2 linked regions of the Oryctolagus cuniculus genome follow. The protein of the gene in region 1 interacts with the protein of each later gene in a pairwise test. Links are inferred from orthologs where the notes say so. Each region holds a gene or a part of one and is shown in the gene's direction. Other genes may lie near its edges.

What was found. The genes of interacting proteins can lie anywhere in the genome.
Region 2: the proteins of PBX3 (region 1) and MAL2 interact in a two-hybrid assay, tested with the Homo sapiens proteins (2 studies listed by BioGRID). The two-hybrid records come from large-scale screens. The link is inferred for Oryctolagus cuniculus from reciprocal best matches to the Homo sapiens genes PBX3 and MAL2.

Annotation. Positions count from the first base shown.
Region 1 is NC_091432.1:229,673,122-229,676,774, forward strand, and holds part of PBX3 (pre-B-cell leukemia transcription factor 3), read left to right. Parts: intron 1-2,833; coding exon 2,834-3,024; intron 3,025-3,653. UniProt on the Homo sapiens protein: Transcriptional activator that binds the sequence 5'-ATCAATCAA-3'.
Region 2 is NC_091437.1:145,023,444-145,027,096, forward strand, and holds part of MAL2 (protein MAL2), read left to right. Parts: intron 1-972; coding exon 973-1,143; intron 1,144-3,653. UniProt on the Homo sapiens protein: Member of the machinery of polarized transport. Required for the indirect transcytotic route at the step of the egress of the transcytosing cargo from perinuclear endosomes in order for it to travel to the apical surface via a raft-dependent pathway.

The DNA of each region.
Region 1 (3,653 bases):
GCCAGGGCCCAGGATCTTCATCCAGGTCTCCCATGTGTGTGGCAGGGTCCAAGGACTTGGGCCATCTTGTGCTGCTTTCTCAGGCACATTAGCAGGTAGCTGCATTGGAAGTAGAACAGCCAGTACTCGAACTGGATGCCAGCACTACAGGCGGCAGCTGAACCTGTTACACCATAGCACTGGCCCCATGCTGTATTTTTGGAACATCTGTTAATATTCTGTGGATCCAGGGGCCAGTGCCGTGGTGCAGGTTAAGCTGTCTCTTGCAGAGCCAGCAGCCTATATCAGAATGCTAATTCAGGGCCGGGACTCTGCTTCCATTCAGCTCCATGCTCATGTGCTGGTGAGGCAGTGAAAGATGGCCCAAGTGCTTGGGCCCCTGCACCCACTTGGGAGACCAGGATGGAGTTCTTGGGCCCTGGCTTCAGCCTGGCCAGAGTTGGCTGTTGTAACCATTTAGAGAGTGAACCAGGGGTAGAAGATCTCTCTGTCTGCCTTTCAAATAGATAATAAATAACTCTTTTTTTGAGATTTTTTTATTTATTTGAGAAGTAGAGTTACAGAGAGAGAGGGAGAGACAGAGAGAAAGGTCTTACTGGTTCACTCTCCAAATGGCTGCAACAACCAGAGCTGGACCAATCTAAAGCCAGGAGCCAGGAGCTTCTTCCAGGTCTCCCACATGGGTGCAGGGGCCCAAGAACTTGGGCCATCTTCTACTGCTCTCCCAGGCTGTAGCAGAGAGTTGGATTGGAAGAGGAACAGCTGGCACATGAAGCAGCAGCGATTCGGGATGCCGGCACCACAGGTAGAGATTCAGCCTACTATACCACAGTGCCAGTCCCAATAAATAAATTCAAAAATGTGTATTTTATGGATCTAGCTATAGAACTATAAAATTTGCTAATCCTAGTTTGAGAAAAGTTATTAATCAATTTTCTTCATTTTACTGATGAGAAAACTGAAGACTAGAGTGTGTCTAGTTATATAATTTGGAAATTCTGTAAATATCTCCTTAGAGAAATTCAAGATAAAAAATGTATACATGTATTTCTTGACAGAGTGACCACTTATTTCCAGCTTGGCATAAACAGTTGAAATTGATAATACAGTAGGGGAAGATCTTAAATTTATTTCAAAAATTTTTGGTTTTCTTAAAGACAGAAGAACTAGTTTTAGTCTGTTTAATATTGTACTGTATCATAACCTAAGACAATAATTATTAACATTTTTTTAGTTATAAACTGTTTGAGAATCTGAAAGCAAAGAAAACTCCACAGATTCTCCTCCAGGAAATATACAGGTGCACACAGCTTGCATAGGATTTCAAGGATTGCAGATGGTCTAAGCCTATCCCTGGACCTGTGGATATTAACCACACTTACTCTAGCACTGACAGTGTAAATCTGCAGATGGTTATTGTATGCCCTAAGCAGAGGAATACCAGAAGTATATACCATAAGGTCATTACTCAGAAGGGACTTAGAATTTCTGAAGACTTTAAAAGACTAACAGTAAGCAAGACTAACTTTACCTCACCTTAGAAATATTTATAGAAAAGCTTAGAATATGTGAAACATTCAATATACTTGGTGGTTAGTTCTCTAATGAGCAGTTAGGAAAACCATAATGTGCTTTATGTGAACCATGCCAGGTTATCTATATGGGAGTGGACATTATTATAGCTTCAAAATATGTCTTGCATTGATCAATGATTGTTCTGTCTGCTCACCCTGCCAGGCCATGAGTTCAGTAGGATACAGACTTTTTCATCCTGCCTTTTTAACGAAAATGCCAGAAAATGTTCTTTTTCTTCAGATGTATATACTGATACTTTATTTCCTAAGGCAGTATGGGATTTCAATGGAGGCCCAGTTAATGTGGTTTTGTAGACTGAAAGACTATAGGTGAACTTAAATGGACAGTATCTGAGATTGTTAACTAGAATATTTGAGACCCAGATCTGATCCCTGTTTTCCTGCAGTCCCTCCCCTGAAGAGCTGAGCTGTTTACAGGGTGACGTGAGTCTGGGCCTATACCACAGCTACCCAGTGGTGTGCGTACAAGGCCCTTTATGTGCTAATCCAAACCCAAGTCCCCAGTTCTCTACATGCTCTTTTCCTATTAGCCATTCTCCCATCTTGCCACATACTCTTTGTAGAGTTTTTCTTATGCCTAGAATTTCTTTTGACTTCCATCTTCGTCTCCCTTTTAAAAGTCCTACCCATTCTTCAAAGCCCAGATACCGCTTTCACCGTGAAGCCTCCATATGAGACTACCCTCTCCTTGGAAATTACAAAGCACTTCTTAATAACTTCCTGGTAGACTTTGCACTGCTTGCTTTGTGAGAGTTAGTTTTTTATGTATTTTATCTCACTAAAGGCCAGGTCTACACCTTGCTCATCTCTGTATCCCTTACAACACTTGTAAGAGTTTGAACTACTTAGTCCTAAGTAAACATTTGTTGAAAAATGTAAAACCACAGAGAAAATAGAAGATGTTTAGTACATAGTTAACATATATTATTACTTAGACATAGGAGTTGGTAGAGAGCATCCTCTAATGGGAAAACTTTATTTTGGAACTGGGACAAAGGTGGTAGGAAGGGCACTTGAATGCTGTGTCTCCCTTGCATGTCTGACCATTCATAGTTTCAGAATTGGTGCCCCACCTACCTCACCACCATTTCACAAGTGTCCTAGCTTTCATTTTACCCTGCCCTGCATAATGCCATTGGTGATTGTAAATGAAGTGGAAAGTCAGATGAGTTCATGTCTGAGTGTGATGATATAAAATATCAGATTGCTAAGGAATGATTTTTTTTTCCCCATTACAGGCATGTAATGAATTCACTACACATGTGATGAACCTTCTACGAGAACAGAGTAGAACACGTCCCATTTCCCCAAAAGAGATTGAAAGAATGGTGGGCATCATCCATCGAAAATTTAGTTCTATTCAGATGCAGCTCAAACAAAGCACTTGTGAAGCCGTTATGATTTTAAGATCAAGGTTCCTTGATGCCAGGTATGTGAGGTCATAAATAAATCTATTGCATGGCTCCACCCCGCTCCCTTTCCCCCTCCTTCACTCCTTTTATATAATTTTCTATGAGATCAGCCGGTTGCTCATCAGTTCTTGTTTAATTCGGCTATCAGAGCTCTTCTCTGCAGTGGACAGGTAAAACTCTGCTGTGAAGTCCCTTGATGTCTGGGGGTGGCTGTGCAGTGAGCTGCCAGTTTCGGATTCAGGAGACGGATAGAGTGAGCACTACTGCTTTCGGGCTAGGTAGCCTTTCAATTCTGATGCTAGACAGGATTTTTAAGGATAATTTTCTGCATATAATTCTGTTTTAACAATGGTATGTATGTCTAAGAATTCCTTAAAGTTATGTTGCTTGTACATATTATGAGAAAATACTTAGAGGTATTGATAGTCCTAAGCAGGAATTGGTATTTCACCTGATAGAAGTTACCATAAAATCCCAGACACTATCTTTCTAATCAAGTGAGAAAGTCTCTCAGTTTCTCCTGTAAGGATGAAATTTCCCTTTTATTTGAAGCTTTCACCAAGTTTCACAGCAGTTAGGTAATACGTTACCTGTAGTAGTAAATTGTACGTGGTGACCTAATGAGTGACAGAATAGTCCAGGTCCT
Region 2 (3,653 bases), on another chromosome or scaffold:
TTTTTATTGTTTACTATCATGTGCAACAACTGCAACTTTTTATTCTGTACATAGACAGTAATATTAAATGTGCAAATAAATCATGATTTAGTAATCCTTAGATGTCACAAATTAGGAAGTTACAGCCATACTTTACTGATAAATTGTCTAAGTAGTAGTGAGAACAGAAGCCAATTTATCTTGGTTTGAAGAGCAGCCATGAAGGGAGGAAATAGAGACCATGTTAAGATGAATTTGTAAAAATGGCTGAATGAAAAGGAAAATGCGTCAACATAGTGATAGTCGGAGAGGCAGTGGAGTCAAAAGTGTTGTGGGCTACGTTGGGCCTACAAATGTATTGCAGATTGTTGCCTTTTACTTAGAAAAGAATTATAAATACAGGCACAAACAGACGTGCAATGCAACAATGTTTATTTACCAAGTGAGGAAAATACACAGGCATTTATGGGCTTTATTTTGGGAGAGTTGGCCAGGAAAGGTAAAGAGGGACTTTCGCTCTGGGGCTACAAGGAGGGAGCTTTCGCTTCACCCAATTTCTTATGAGCTTAGAAACAGAAGTGTTTACATGGTACTGCCCTAGGTCCCAATTAAGGTAACTACTTCCTGGTGAAGAGGTCGTTTGATTGACAGGTGGGTGGATATGATTACACAGAGTGGGGGAGGTGTGGCTTCTCCTCATGAACTTTATCTTTCTAGCTGACTTATCCTATGTCAAAAGATATTTTTAAATAACAAGAGTTCTGGACCTGTTGGAGGCTGAGGAAGAGATACAGGTATGGAGTCATCAGGTCTTCAAATAGAAGATCTGGTCTTGGACCAGAGGAAAGAAGGCATCTGCCATATGAAAGAAAAAGGTTAAAGGATGGGGTTGCAGGGGTCTAAGGGGGAAAAAAGGGGGGAAGGTGTTTAATTCAGTTGTATAAAATATATTATCGAAGCAAACCTGTTACCCTCTTTCTTTTTCTCTTTCAGCTGTTTGGGGGCCTCGTCTGGATTTTGGTTGCCTCCTCCAACGTTCCTCTACCTCTGCTACAAGGATGGGTCATGTTTGTGTCTGTGGCAGCCTTTTTTTTCTCCCTCCTCTTTCTGGGCGTATTCCTGTCTGGCATGGTGACTCAAATTAATGCCAACTGGAACTTGCTGGTAAGAACTTTTTATTTGATGTATGTTGGAAAAAATGTGAGAAACTTATAAACATCTCATTTTATTCTGCCATACCCAAGTCCCTGTTCTGTCTGTCTGTTGACTCTGCTGGGAAAGAATAGGTCTGAACACAGGGGCCACTGTAATGCTGCATAGTTGCCTTGTGGGATGTCAGGATGCCACCTTGGGAAATGCTTGTATTAACTAAGAAATCATTCTGTTACTCCTTTATGACTTAGATGACTTTTACTCAAAAATTATTTCATTTCATACAACGAATGAATTGCATTATAAGTACTAAACAGCTGAACATTTACATTTGGAAGATGAATGCTGTAACATATATCTTGAAATTTTCCATTTATTTCTGCTTCAGCCATTTAAATATACAGATAGGTATACAAATATATACACAAATATGTATATATGTATATACACACACACTTTTTCAGGACACAATTAGTTATATATATATTGTTCTCTAAAATACTTAGGAAAAGGTCATGTTTTATGTGTATAATTAACTCCTGACTTAATGAAGAATTGATGAGTTTTTAAAAATGAATTTTCAATCAATACAATGCTTAATTATGATAACATTAAATTGGATCATCTTACTTCCTGTATTCCTGTGTAATATATGTAATATATGGAGCCTTTCTTTCATACCTGTGGTCATTCATTCTCTGAGACTGTTTCAGAATGGCCCAGTGTAGCATGAATTCTAGTCCATAGTAGGTAGTGCTTTAGTGAAGTTCATGAAGAACCTCCCCTAGATTCTGACCCCATTTTGTTGTTTAGAAACTTAACTCAGACCTTTAGTCAGTCTTTATCCACAGGGTACATCAAATAGTTCATGGAAAATAGAATATTTGGTATAAAAAGATCTGAAATCCATACATAGTCTTCTCATAATGTGGATATTTAAAATTTTTTAAAGATTTTATTCATTTGAAGGCAGAGTTATAGATAGAGAGGGGGAGGAACAAAGAGATCTTCCATCTGCTGGTTCACTCCCCAAATGGCCACAATGGCCAGGGCTGGGCCAACCGAAGCCAGAAACCAGGAGCTTCTTCTGGGCGTGTCATGTAGATTCAAGAGCCCAGGCACTTATGCCATCTTCCACTGCTTTCCCAGGTAGCTGGATCAGAAGTGGAGCAACTGGGACTTGAACCATTGCATATATGGCAGTGGCTTTGCCCACAACACCAGTCTCATTGTAACTTTCCACTGAATTTTTTAATTGACTTATTTATTTGAAATCCAGGAGAGGGATAGAGGGAGGGAAGGAGAGAGAGAGAGAGAGAGAGAGAGAGAGATCCATCCACTGGTTCATGCCCCAGTACCCACAACAGCCAGGGCTGACTCAGTGGAACTCCATCTGGTTCTCCCACATGGGTGTCAGGGCCTCAGGCACTGCACCAAGGCCATCTTCGCCTGCATGCCCAGGAAAATTAGCAGAGAGCTGGATCGGAAGTGGAGCAGTCAGTTCTCATATGGGATGCCAACATCACGTATGCTACAATGCTGGCCCTTCAATGGACTTTTTAAAGTACCTTTGTATGTTGCTGTCGAGTATAATAGCAATATATTCAGCAGAATTAGGTCAGATGTTAGCGGAAAATACATATGTACTTTATTTATAAAAGATGAGAGGAGAAATATCAACACAAATATTATCAGCAGCAAAATTCATTGAAAATGCCTGGCCTTTAAGCCAGCCCATGGGCAGGTGGCACCCAGTTCAGTTTAATAAAGCCAAGGAAGGAGTAGAATTCAGTGGTTACAATCATGCACATATTGTCATGCATGGGCATATGTCTGGCTTGCTTGATAGCTGTATAGTCTTGGTCAAAATAGTTAATATATCAGAATTTTTGTAAAATGCTACTAATGATATCTGTTTTACCAGATACTAGTGGGGGATATTGGAAATAATGAATTATACTTTGTGTCTAACTGATAGTAATGAAGCAGTAATGATGCAATACCTTAACCACACTGAGACTTGCAATTTAGATTCTTGAAAGTCCTTAGGTTTCTGAGATAGTGTGTTCCTGCATCTTTGACTTAATTTCTCATTAATAACAAAAATATTCCCAATTCTTGGTTATGTGATAAAAGTCAAGGGTCCTTATTTAGGCTACATATAGAGGCTTAAGCTTTTCTTTCCAAATGTCCAACTTCCCTATAAAAATGTATAAATGAATCAGTCTATGCCTAATGTTGGGCACCAAGTTCTTCTAGTATCAGGCCAGCATGTTCTACTTGTAGGCCTGCTGATGCTTCAATATTAGATAATTTACAGTCATTGCCAAAATTGATTTCATCTCACCAAATATTTTGACACCCACCATCCTATTTTGACCCTTCTTCTGGGACATTCCTGAATCTCCTAAGAGCCCAGCAACTAAAGGGTTATTACATGGACAAGTAGTGACTCCATGATCTTTCAATGGCCATATTCTTTCTAATTGGTTAGTGCACATGCCTCACTAATGTTTAAATAT